Linked DNA regions of Drosophila melanogaster. The gene in region 1 interacts genetically with each later gene. Each region holds a gene or a part of one and is shown in the gene's direction. Other genes may lie near its edges.

What was found. Genes that interact genetically often act in the same process or in processes that back each other up.
Region 2: of Rab9 (region 1) and Nf1, changing one suppresses a phenotype caused by changing the other (phenotypic suppression), as found in Drosophila melanogaster (one study listed by BioGRID).

The regions. Positions count from the first base shown.
Region 1 is NT_033779.5:19,429,639-19,437,589, forward strand, and holds Rab9 (Rab9), read left to right. Parts: upstream 1-2,935; 5' UTR 2,936-3,233; coding exon 3,234-3,425; intron 3,426-5,028; coding exon 5,029-5,223; intron 5,224-5,284; coding exon 5,285-5,668; 3' UTR 5,669-6,203; downstream 6,204-7,951. Other genes in the region: CG13085 (uncharacterized protein), read left to right, coding at 1-492; RtcB RNA ligase, read left to right, coding at 1,133-2,425, 2,486-2,713; CG10237 (uncharacterized protein), read right to left, coding at 6,508-6,995, 7,172-7,325, 7,394-7,488.
Region 2 is NT_033777.3:25,981,256-25,987,125, forward strand, and holds the start of Nf1 (neurofibromin 1), read left to right. Parts: upstream 1-1,757; 5' UTR 1,758-2,036; coding exon 2,037-2,093; intron 2,094-2,336; coding exon 2,337-2,480; intron 2,481-2,579; coding exon 2,580-2,964; intron 2,965-3,019; coding exon 3,020-3,161; intron 3,162-3,217; coding exon 3,218-3,811; intron 3,812-3,872; coding exon 3,873-4,194; intron 4,195-4,256; coding exon 4,257-4,809; intron 4,810-4,863; coding exon 4,864-5,401; intron 5,402-5,456; coding exon 5,457-5,870. Other genes in the region: fid (fire dancer), read left to right, coding at 1-42.

The DNA.
Region 1 (7,951 bases):
TACTCCACCAAGGACCAGGACGTACTCCGGTACCTGAGGCCACTGTGCCAAGGGGCCGCCGAGAGCCGCAGGATTCGGGCTCTGAAGTTGGACCATGCCAAGTGGTCGGCGGAGATAGTGGGCACTGTGGGCCAGGTGGTTCCATCGCTGCTATTTCTGGACATGCGTCACTGCGATGTGCGAGACTACCAGATAGCACAGCTCTTGCAATCGGCAGATAAGCTAAAGGCACTCGCTCTACTCCACATTGACAATCAGACGGGTGATTCCTATCTGCAGCCGCAACTACTCAACAGATTGCCATCGCTGAAGCTCATTCACCTAACCACCTTGGGTTCCATGGGCTTTAACCCCGAAAACCTGACACGGCTGTGCCCGAACCTGAGCTTCCTCGTCAGTGACCTAATCAAGGGAGATTTTAAGATATATGGCCCGCCTGCCTACATACAGAACTACTACAAGTGCTATAATGAGTACTTCAAGACCGCCTGAGTACATGTGGCACAGTTTGCAGAGATCTCAGTGGAATTGGATTCTATATTTGATATGAACTCACTCTTTTTGTAAATATTTTTGTCTTTTACTATGCAAGAGATTGCAATTGCATTTAAAATACACACTCAAACAAATGTACAACCGAAAAGCTCTTCTTTTCGACAGAATTCAATTTCTCGTTTGCACTAATTTGAGTTAATAAAAGTAGATAATTGAATACAATTTGACTTAAGTTTTAAATTTCCGTTAGAGAGAATACTGCTTAGTTTAAACTGCTTGCTTTCGCACAGATAAGCTGGGCAACATACTTTGCTTAATGCAAGCATACCACCACATAAATATGTTAGCAGGATAACTTAATAACACAGCGCTGTTCAATTTGTTAGCATTTTTAATTTAATTTAAGCAAATAAATTTACCTTAATACGATATTTGACAATTGGTTTGCAAGTGTAAAGGCGGTATTTTTCGTATCGCTTTAAGTCTGGTATTTTACACATCGCGCACTGCGATAGTATCGCTGACAAATATTTTGTGCCGGCATGCAATTCAGAAATAAAAAACTGGTGAAATAGCTCATAAATATAAATAGCTTAAGAAGCGATTGGCTGGCAAAGAGAACGACCGGAGAGTCAGGATGGTGGTGCGTCCGTACAACGATGAGCTCCGGTACCTGGAGAAAGTGAGCGACCACTGCTGGCGCATCAAGAAGGGCTTCCAGCCAAATATGAATGTGGAGGGGTGTTTCTATGTGAACAGCCGGCTGGAGCGCCTGATGCTGGAGGAGCTGAAGAACTCCTGTCGCCCGGGCGCAGTGGGTGGCTTCCTGCCTGGCGTCAAGCAGATAGCCAATGTGGCCGCGTTGCCGGGCATCGTGGGCAGGTCCATTGGACTGCCCGACATTCATTCCGGCTACGGATTTGCCATCGGGAACATGGCTGCTTTCGACATGAACGATCCGCTGTCCGTTGTAAGTCCCGGCGGCGTGGGTTTCGACATCAACTGTGGCGTGCGTCTGCTGCGCACGAATCTGTACGAGAAGGATGTGCAGCCGGTGAAGGAGCAACTGGCGCAGTCCCTGTTCGATCACATACCCGTGGGTGTGGGCTCCAAGGGCATCATACCCATGAATGCCCGCGATCTGGAGGAGGCCCTCGAAATGGGCATGGACTGGTCGCTGCGCGAGGGATACGTGTGGGCGGAGGACAAGGAGCATTGCGAGGAGTACGGCCGCATGCTGAACGCCGATCCCGCCAAGGTGAGCATGCGGGCCAAGAAGCGAGGGCTGCCCCAGCTGGGCACTCTGGGTGCGGGCAATCACTACGCCGAGATCCAGGTGGTGGACGAAATCTACGACAAGTGGAGCGCCTCCAAGATGGGCATCGAGGAGAAGGGCCAGGTGGTGGTGATGATTCACTCGGGCAGTCGTGGCTTCGGCCACCAGGTCGCTACCGACGCCCTGGTCCAGATGGAGAAGGCCATGAAGCGGGACAAGATCGAGACCAATGACCGGCAGCTGGCCTGCGCCAGGATCAATTCGGTGGAGGGACAGGACTACTTGAAGGCCATGGCGGCGGCTGCGAACTTTGCCTGGGTGAATCGCAGCTCCATGACATTCCTCACCCGTCAAGCGTTTGCCAAGATGTTTAACACCACACCCGATGATCTCGACATGCACGTTATCTATGACGTTTCGCACAATATTGCCAAGGTGGAGAACCACATGGTGGACGGCAAGGAGCGGAAGCTGTTGGTTCACCGGAAGGGCTCCACGCGCGCCTTCCCGCCACACCATCCCCTGATCCCAGTGGACTATCAGCTTACCGGGCAGCCAGTCCTCGTCGGTGGAACCATGGGCACTTGCAGTTACGTGCTAACTGGAACGGAGCAGGGCATGCAGGAGACGTTCGGTAGCACTTGCCACGGAGCGGTGAGTAACCAAATCCCGTTTCTTCCTGTTCGCCAGACTAAAACCTCCTTGAATCTTTAGGGTCGTGCACTATCTCGAGCCAAATCCCGGCGCAATCTGGACTACAAGGATGTGCTGGACAAGCTGGACCAGTTGGGCATCGCCATACGCGTGGCCTCGCCCAAACTGGTCATGGAGGAGGCACCCGAATCTTACAAGGACGTGACCGATGTGGTCGACACCTGTCACGCAGCTGGCATCAGCAAAAAGTGCATCAAGATGCGCCCAATTGCAGTTATCAAGGGCTAAGTCTAATTTATTATTGTGATTAAGTCAATAAACATTTGGTCCGATGGCTGTCAATTTAGTTAATAACGAATTAAAATTTTTATAGAATTTGTTAAGAGGTTTTCGTTTTTTTATTCAAAGTTAACAGTTATGTAGTTAAGCTGTTAAGTGAGCTGTGGTCACCCCACACTGGCGCTCTGTTAACGGCGAGCTTAGCATTATGTTAGGCCAAAGGCCCGGTCTGTTAGTTGTCAGCTGACTGCCAATCCAATTGGACCTGCTGCACGGCGCGAATTTTGATTGAGCTGCCCATTTCGATTTATTTAAACGAAAAAAAACGAATTATATTCGTTGTTAACAACACGCCGTGTGCAATTCTGTATGTGCGCCTGCTAATCGCTCGGGAATCGTGAGTGCAATTAAGCCGAAAACTCACTGCAGCCGGCAGTCAACCAAGCTGCGCAGTAGGAAAAGGCCAAAGAAATCTAGCCACTGCTGTTGCCGCCGGACTTAACTGCAAGAACAAACAAACGCAGGCACTATGACGAACATGCGGCCGCCGCAGAAGTCCAAGCTGCTGAAGGTCGTCATACTGGGCGACGGAGGCGTTGGCAAGTCCGCCCTGCTCACCCGATTCGTCGCCAATCGCTACGAGGAGAACAACTTCCACACCATCGGCGTGGAGTTCATGAACAAGGACATAGTCGTCGACGGGGAGCGCTACACTCTGCAGGTGAAGACTACGACTATGACTATTATGCAATCCAACTACTGACTAGGAGTAATAGTAATACCGATATTGCGGCAAGGCCGTAGAACTTTTGCAATTCTTATGGTGAATGCAACAGTTGGCCAAGCGTATTTCCTTCAAGTGTATTTCACTTAAACACTAACCCCCTCCCCCCCCCCCCAAACGGATCTATCCCACCGTCGCATGGTTGTGCCCGATCCACCGGCATTTTGTTGATGCAAACACTTAGAAACTACACAACGATTAAGCCTTGTTTTCCATTCCCTTACATTCGCGGCACAGTGGAACTTTAGTAAGTTAAACAGGGTAAAAACAGAAGTGCTAACAAATTAAACCATTTAAACAAGGAAACATTGACTATACATTCCTTGAACCATTTGAAACACTCGTATACCAGAGAAAAGTATTATCTTACTGACACGTTTTTGAGTCTTGCATTTGAAATTAAGAAAAAAATATGTGCAATCAATTAATTACGTAGTTTTTTCCACTGTAGCTGTACCTACATTATGGGGGTATCTGTTCCATCTGCCCCATCCCCACTCACACACACACATATATGAACATTAGATTTCTACTCAATTAGCGTTGAGAACGGAATGGCATTGCAGAAACAAAAAACTGAAATAATAACAATAATGACAGTTTCGCCATTCGGCAAACAAGTGAGAGACTTTGTTTCATCCGCCGACGCGGTTTCCCCCGCTCCATCTCATCCGCATCGCAGTTGTTTTCCATTTTCCATTCGGACTGTTGTCTTCAAAAGTATCGAACTAAATGATTTTCACAGTTCGCCAAGCTCGGAAAACTCATGAATATGCAGCGCGTCTCAGTGAGTAAGCAAAATGCAGCCAAGGTGTCGCAAATCGGAATAATAATTCTAATTGGACCAGCAGATACATTATAAAGTAGGAAGTAGCGAATGTGGACTGATTGATATACATATGACTAATCCGACGGGAATCTCGCATAGTTTGCTGGTTCACAGTTCGCTGGGCACAGGAAGAACTTGGCCAAAAGCGGATTTCCCAGTGCTGCAAAAAATCGTGGAATCACTGGGGTGTTTTTTGCACTACCTATATACATATGTACATATGTATGGAGTCACTTAGTTACCATGGGCAGTACTCACACCCTAAAAGGGTTATTCCACCCATGTGTTTGGAGGCCAAAGGTGTTTATATTAGATAAAGAAGTTTAAAGTATCCATTGTTAGAGCTAAAAGTATAACCTCATGTTCGAAAGTATAAAATAAATAAAAGTATAAAATAAATATTTAAAGTATGTATGCTACTCGAAAATTCAGATTCAACGAACTATTTCCTGAGCTAATTGCTTATCACCACCTCGTTATCAGTTCAAAACTAAATATTTAATTAACACACAAGAAATGACAGTAAATGTGTTGATATAAGTGAGTCAGTCAGGCATGCAAACACTCCATAGGTTTTCAAACGGCGAAAGTGTTTGTTTCTCAGTGAGTTTGCTTCTAATCGAATGCAAATTTCAATTGAGCGCCATTTGAATCGCCAATTCAATCAAACTTAATTGATGCATTGCCTTAATTGGAATTTCCCCAAACTAGATATGGGACACCGCTGGCCAGGAGCGATTCCGGGCTCTACGCACCCCGTTCTACAGAGGATCGGACATCTGTCTGCTCTGCTACGCACTCGACGACCGGGACAGCTTGAAGGGATTGGGTGTGTGGCGCAATGAGTTCCTCAACTACGCAGATGTGGACCAGGACAAGTTTCCATTCATCGTGGTGGGAAATAAGGTGAGCCATGCTTGCAGAACGTTCATCTTGAGTTTAAAAGGTTAATTGCTTCCAATTGTAGAACGACATTCCGGCGCAGAAGCGACAGGTGAGCTCCGACGCAGTGCAGCAGTGGTGCGCGGAGCAGAAGGTGGCCTGCCACATCGAGACGTCATCGAAGGCGGCCACCAATGTGACGGATGCGTTCGTCCTTGGCCTTCGCCAGTGGCGGCACATGGAGTGCGTGGCCGAGGCGGAACTGCGCCAGCACGGCGACACCATTGACCTCACCCGCCCCATTCGCCTGGTGCAGCGGCGCATCTGTTGCACAGGCGGAGGAGGCGGTGGCGGCGGCGTAGGGCAGGACGCGGATGGCGATGATGCCGCCATGCACAGTCCGGGCAAGAAAGTGTTCGGCCAGAAGCGCAACGCCAGCAAGGCGCCAGCCACCAATTATCGGCTATGAGCAGACAGACAGGAGCTGTCAGGAAACTTACGCTTAATTTAACCACTCACCCCGCCGGGTTGACCTTCAGATTCAATGCATTCCAGTCCGCGGAGGGGCAGGAGCTTCAGACCGAAAGGCAACCCATCCACCCAATGTTGATGGCTGTAGAGAGTGGATTGCCTCGTTGTGGTTGATATTCTAAGGGAACTATGCTTCACAGCGAGCTAACTATGAGCTAGCTTCTATGTCAAGAATAGGATCTCCATTTTTACTTGCTATGCTTTAATATTATCTTACTAAGTTATTATTTTGTTATGTTACCGTATCGAATATATGCGGTATGAAATACTCTTATAACAATCGTATATAAGCTTTACCATAACCAAGTGTCTTGCTTGAGGAAAGCAAGCTTTAGGTGTCTAATGTACTACGCATAAGGCAATCAGAATGTAATCACTACATTTTTTCCTTATATATTGCATAATTTCGGAGTGCCTTAAGTGTGTTTATCTGATGTGAAAGCTGGGAACAAACGAATAAATATGAATACCGCACGTGTTTGTTTACAAAGTATGTTTATATTTTAACAATTGGTTTAATGTACAATAGTAAAATGATATAAATACGCTTACCCCGGATTAAAATAATATGCATGTAGGTATAACACTTCTTCTGGCTGCGATCGACACTCCGATCCTGGTTAAGACTAAGGCAAACTCTAGGCGCTACTCACTAACAGGACAAGCGTATGGTAGATCGAGTGCTTAACTATAACGCTCCACGTGGGCTTAATGTGAAGACGTGTGGAAACGAGTGGAGTTGATTATCACGAGCAGCACCAGGCCGGTGGCCACAGATCACTTCTTCTTGTAGCCGTACGAGTTGATGGTGTCGAACTCGGTGTCGCACTTGAGCAGCAGCTGGTACCACTGGTCGCTGTCGATGCGGCTGGCCTCCCGGAATCCTCCGTAGGCGGCTGGCAGGCACTTGGGCGACATGTATTTGTGCAGGGACTCGCGATCGGTGCCATGGAAGATGATCCTGCTGCGCAGCTTCTCCTTGAGGAAGGGCTTGAACAGGGCAAAGACCACCTGGAAAATCTTCGGCTGGTTCACGATGTGAATGGCCTTGATCCGGAGCGGCACCGAGTCCTGAAGCCAGTCCACAATGCGCTTGGCGAACGGAGGCGTAAACTGCCACGTTTGCTGGAGACTGAGGCCATCCATGTCGAAGATCACAACGGCTCCGCAGATCTGTGTTTCTGGCTCCAGCATGGCCGCCTCCAGGAAGAGCACAGCTCCCTTGAACACCTCATCGAGGGTGACCTGCTTGTGCTTCCAGCGCTCTGTAATCGGGGATTACGAAAGATTAATACAGGATCTGCTCAATGCTTGGAGCAACTATGAAACTTCAAATGATAGGAAAACCTGCATCTTAACTAAAATAAACTTTACTCTGAAGATCGAGATCTTTGCACTCAAAAGCTAATATATTGAAGTATCCTTCTTTCAGTGTACTTACTGCCCAGTTCGAGGACCAAAATGCGACGACCCAGTTGATCTCGGTTGGGGAAGACGGTAAGGATGTTGTGCTTGAAGATGTTGGCCTCGTTCGATGGCTTCAGGTCGGTGTACACATCCGCGTGCTTCACCTTGAAGGCGTAGTACCGCTTAATCTGTTCCATATTCAGAATATATACAATTAGTAACACAGCTGGAAACTGGGTTGCCACACTAGACTCACCAGATCACGGGCACTTTCCGGGTAATACTTGCAGGGCCGCAGGTATCTGATCAGCCACTCCTCGTTTCCCTTGGGGTACAGCAAGTCCGTCTCCGCTGGAAGCATATCGCAAATATTAATCGACCTCACCTTCAATAGTCTTAATTCTAAAAAGTCACTAAACCACTGGCATTAAGTTTATCCAGCAATTAAAAGGCAATCGTAATTTGTAACAATAGTTACGAATCTTATGCAACGAAATCCTCTCGAGGGCGCGCTGCTTTTAGCCCCAACTTGTTATTAGTGACACGAAGTCGCCAACTAATGATATAGAACTATTCGTTCGAACTTGGTGTACAAATGGATTTTCAATTCCCAACAATCGGGTAAATTATTAGATGCAGGCTAAGTACGAAGTTTATGGCTTAAGTTTTATTAACTCAAGTTTTTATCAGCTTTTGGAGATCCCTCGGATATAAATTATGAAAATAGCTTAGCAAAATGCATATTGTATGATCTCAGTTCAGATATATGTATATACTTTAAACAGATGTAATGCAGTTTCAATGACTTTCATCA
Region 2 (5,870 bases), on another chromosome or scaffold:
TGGTGTGTGGTGGCCGAGAAGGTTCAGGTGTGGACCATCTAAGCACCCAACTCTCAAACGGGGATTCGAAACGAAACTTAAGTTTATTTGCTATTACTGGGACCGAAGCATGTATACCAAATATTTAAAGGATATACGTTAAATTACTTTGAATTACATTTTTTTATACGCATCTAATACATTTTAAGTTGCTCTACAAAAACACTTGAATATCTTTTTAGGACATTCAAAATCCAAGCAGCTTTTTTGATTTTTTCAAGGCGTACCCGTTTACCCGTTTGAATCCCTGATCTAAAACAAATGCCCATTTCCTAGCTGTAGTCTCTGATCTGATGCCCCCAAAGGAATTGTTAAATTTAGTCTATTACTCTAGTCGGCTGGCGGTGCGGGGCGGGGAAGGCCCGTCCTGCTATCCAGCACTAATTTATTGTTAGCAGGCCTGCTCAAGGACGCGAACGCAGGATTGCACTGCATTGAAATCCAATTTCAAAGGAAAACTTAGCTGTAAGAACGAAACCAATCGAATCGAATGCGATAACGAAACAACGCAAGCTAAATACAAATCTTACTAGTTATACGAGCATATTCTATTTACAACGATCATCTGTTTGTATCTTGCGCTATCTGCAGACTAAGTTTCAAGCACTTTATGCTATAATTTCGAAGCGAATAATCATCAAACGTCCATTGCAGCCAACATATACCACTTATACAAGAGAAAATCAAGATACCAGTTAAGCAGCTAGAACAAAGTAATATAGCAACTATGTACGTGCATGTATACACTCCTTAAAACTGCAAAGTTAATAGAACCCTCTAAAAATATCAATAACTGCATTTAAATCTATGAGAAAACCGTACATATATCGAATGCAAAGTAAAATCAAAAATATATACACAAAACAGTTTAAGAAACTCTTTCCGCAAGCTCACAATTTTCCACATATATAAATTTTTCACCTTTTTAAAGCACTTTTTTATTTACTTTAATTGATTGGATAAAGTACCCAACTCACTTCCCAAAAACGGCCAATAAGACGATTGTAACATAAGCCTATGCCTAAACTCAAATTTTTGTCAGCTTAAGAAGGGTTATTTGAAAAATAACGCAAACATTTTCAATAAAACCAAATATATACATATATATACCTATATGCGACTGTACATGTGTTTTTTAGCTAGCTAAACTAACTTTATACCGTAAAATAATAGAACAATTGAATAAATATTAACTAACGTTGGACGCAACACTAAATTACAACAGATAGAACTCGATTTGAACCTATTACTGCTCGAAATGCTGAAACATTATAAACATTAAGTATTGCTGGAAAATATGTATAATTTGCACAGAGCCAAACAGGCACACTCAAACGGAATTAACTCAAAACCCAAGCTACAAAACCATCTGAAATATTTAATATTGATAATTTGTAATGCATTAACAACAACATTAAATAAACTAATAATACTTACTGAACTGAATCTGTTTTAAAAATCATTTATATTTCTAATTGGAACACTTAGACCATATAAAATAATAGCATCAAATGAGATAGAACGAAATGAAGGCCAAATATTTTTGGAATTTTTAAACGCTCCTGTGAGCGCGCGCATTTACTTGTGGCTTATGGTCACCCTAATGAATTCAGTACTAGTTGGTCTGATGCCATCACTATTTGAAAATAAGCGATATATCGATAGGATGTAATTGTTATCACTTATAAAAGCGTTTCGGTATTGTGAAAGAAATGGAAGGCGGTACACACACAATATAAACATCCAAATAACAGCCTGTAAGCCCTTAGAAAATTCCCATAAAAAAAGAAACAGTGCCCGTTTTGTAAAGCCAAACCATCCAAATTGTTGGAAGAGAAGGAAGTGAACGTCTCAGGAACTGAAAAAAACACCAAGGATAACGAACAAAGATGCCACTCAACCAATTGCCACTCCCCAAGCTCAACGAAAAGCTGCCCTATTTAGTTGCTGAAATGCAGTAAAAAACGCATAAACAACTGTTAAAACACCACAACAAGATGACCCAGAAGCCAGGCGAGTGGGCTAGCGCCCTTTTGGCACGTTTCGAGGATCAGGCAAGTGTTTTCCAATCGCTTTTCCGCAGTTGCGTTTTCGCAAGCGAAAAAATGTACCTGCTGCTCTGCCTCTTCCTCCCCCACACATGCTCACAGCGACCTTGCGAGTGTGCGTGCCTCACCCGCTCTGTCAGTGTGAGCTCTCAATCAAATGCGTGGGAGAGCGAGATAGCAACAATAACAAAAACACCGGTTCCCGCATGAATGAAGTGGAATTGAGCAATCAATGGTTTACTTTTTCAGCTGCCAAACAGAATCGGTGCCTATGGCACGCAGGCCAGGATGAGCCAGGACCAATTGGTGGCCTGTCTGATCCACATATCGCGCTACCGCTTCTCCCTTGTCATATCCGGTCTCACCAAGATGCTGCAGAGGGTCAATGAGGCGGTAAGTACTCCATTCTCTATTGTTAACCCTTAAACTATGTTGCCTTATTTTATGGGGCTAGGATACGATTAAATTACTTAAACAAAAATTTCATTGCAGGCCCTTCAAAATCGCCATGAGCCAGAGCGTTGCTACTTTGAGTCGCTGGTCATCATACTGACCACTCTGGAACGCTGTCTGACCAACCAGACCAAGGACACAGCACGTTTTGAAGAGGCCATGAATGTGAAGCTTCTGCTGCGCGAGATCTCCCAGTTTGTCGACGTCCAGAGCGACAGCAATCCGAATGCCGCCCAGCTCAAGGCCCTGGCATCCAAGGTGCTCTTTGCCTTGTCCCAGAATCACTTCTCGGCGGTGTTCAATCGCATATCGGCCAGGATTCAAGAGCTGACATCCTGTTCCGAGGAAAACCCGGACTACAACGACATAGAATTAATTCAACACATCGATATGGATATGATAAAGCTAACCAAGCTGCTACAAGGTAAACTAACTTTTTTAATATTTCGGAAAGGTTAAACAACGTTTTACGTTTCCAGAAACCATCACAAAGTTTCGATCGAAGCGTGCTCCACCTTTGATCTTGCTTTACTCGCTGGAGAAGGCTATTTGGAACTGGATCGAGTACCATCCACAAGAGTTCCAGGACTTGCAACGAGGAACCAATCGAGATATATCAACGTAAGAGGAATTACAAGCGTTTTTAAAGTCACATTAATTGATCCTGTTTCGTTTAGCTGCTGGGAACCCCTGATGGACTTTGTAGAGTACTTTAAAACCGAAAACAAGAAAAGCAAGACTCTTGTTTGGCCGCTTCAAATGCTCTTGCTGATATTGAATCCCTCTTGCCTTGAGGCTGTTGTTAACGAACTTCAGCAGTCGGAGAAAGAGAAGGAAAAGGACAAGGAAAAGGTTGCCTCGAAGTCAGCGCAATCCACGTCCCGGGACAAGGACTTCTCGGCCAAGCAGTTCATCGAGAGTATCAAGAGAGGCTTGGGCCAGCACTCACCATCCAAACAGGTGACCGAATCTGCGGCAATTGCCTGTGTAAAGCTGTGCAAAGCATCCACCTACATCAACAACACCGACTCCAATAATGTGGTCTTCAAGTTGGTGCAATTCTTTATCAACGATCTCAAGGCACTGCTCTTTAATCCAGCAAAGCCCTTTTCGCGCGGTCAGGGGTACAACTTCGCTGATATCGAGCTGATGATTGACTGCTGGGTGTCTTGTTTCCGGATTAATCCTCACAACATCGAGGCTCTAAAGGTTTGCCTGAATTTGTCCTCGCCGCAGGCTTACCATTTTGTAATTGTGTGCTCTCTGCTAAGGTAATTTACTTGGGTAGCTATATAAAACTCTTGACTTTTACATGTATACTTTCCATTATAGGTTGGCTCACATATACGTTGACTTCCGTTTGCAGAACAAGAACCCCTTTCGAATAGTAAACCAACCGAGATTGTCTTGGTGGCCGCAAACGGATGTGGTTCACTACCGTTCTGCTGAGCTACGAGCTTTGTTTACGGATACGCTCAACAAGGCCACCCAGGGTTATATAGCCCATACGCCACTGCGCTACATAACCTCCCTGACGCTCAAATCTAAAGATACCCAGAAAGGTTTAACCCGCGCTGAAGAGGGTCCCGCCCACAAAATGCTATTACTGCTACTCGTACGGCTAATTCATGCAGATCCCACGCTTTTGTTGAATGTGAGTTATTTGATAATTTGATCGATAATAGTCTCATATTTAACAATTGTTTTGTAATATAGACCCAAGGAAAAGTGGCACATGAAGTGCAGAGCTCCACATTGGAGCTCATCAACGGCTTAGTTAGTTTGGTGCATCAAACTACCATGCCCGATGTGGCACAAGAGGCTATGGAGGCGCTGCTTGCTCTGCACGCCCCGGAGAAAATAGAGGTTTGGAATCCAGAGGCTCCGATCAATACGTTCTGGGACGTTAGCTCCCAAGTACTGTTTTCAATCTCGCAAAAGCTCATTCAACACCAAATTGCCAATTACACTGATGTCTTAAAGTGGCTACGCGAGATCCTCATCTGTCGGAATACTTTTCTTCAGCGACACAAGGATTATGCACATGTGGGAAGTCAGATTGCCATTTGCAAGCAGGCTCACATTAAGATGGAAGTTGTTTTCTTCATGTACCTGTGGAGTGTTGATTTAGATGCGGTGCTGACATCGCTATCGTGTTTTGGACTACTATGCGAGGAGGCTGAGATTTGCTGCAGTTCTGATGAATTGACAGTCGGATTTATTATGCCGAATTACCACATTTACCAGGAGCTGGCTCAGTTGTCCACATGTGAGTTTGGTAAATTCATCATACATATTTTTATTAATAATAATTTCGTTTTAGCTGCAACGGACTCTCGCATTTGCTTTTTTGACAACACGCACGGCAATGTGCTGAGCCGTCTTACACTTCAAAAGCGCATAATGACCCTATTGCGCAAGATCGAGCACTGTGTTCATGGTGTTCAGCCCGCCTGGGAGGAAACCTTCCGCAACTGGGAAGTATCCAGCAAGGTTTTGCAAACGTACCCCAAATGTAAAGGAGAAGATGGCCAAGCGGAGGTTTTCCATCGTGGCATGGGCAAGCGGCGAGCGAGTCACCAAAGCTCAGAGCACGATTTGGAGGAACAAATTAATGAATGGGCCAATATGACATGGTTTCTATTAGCCTTGGGTGGCGTCTGCCTTCATAAACGTAGCAGCAGTCGTCAAATGCTGCTGCAGCAATCACAGAACAATGCTTCTTTGGGATCACTTGCTCAAAACTCTCTTTACTCAAGCTCCACAAGTTCTGGACATGGCTCTCTGCATCCTAGCACGGTTTCACTATCCACTCTTCCCCCAGCACCGCCACAAGATGTCAGCTATTGTCCTGTAACACAGTAAGGTTTTATTTATTTTAACATGTCCCATATATAACCTATAACTTTAATTTAGATTCGTGGGCCAACTATTGCGCCTGTTAGTTTGCAGCAACGAAAAAATTGGACTTAATATTCAGAAAAATGTGAAGGAACTGGTGGGCGAGGAGATGTCCACCCAACTGTATCCTATACTCTTCGACCAGGTTAGAGCCATCGTGGAGAAGTTCTTCGATCAGCAAGGTCAGGTGAACGTCAATGTGACCGACATCAACACGCAGTTTATCGAGCACACCATCTACATAATGAAATCAATTCTGGATCCCAAAGCCAACAAGGATCCCAACAACGATCAACCCTCGCCATCGGAACATTTAGGTGTTACAAGCATCGAAGGCATGATGCTAGGAATAGTGCGCTACGTTCGCCACCTGGATATGACTGTTTATGCCATTCGAATCAAGACAAAATTGTGCCAGCTTGTGGAAGT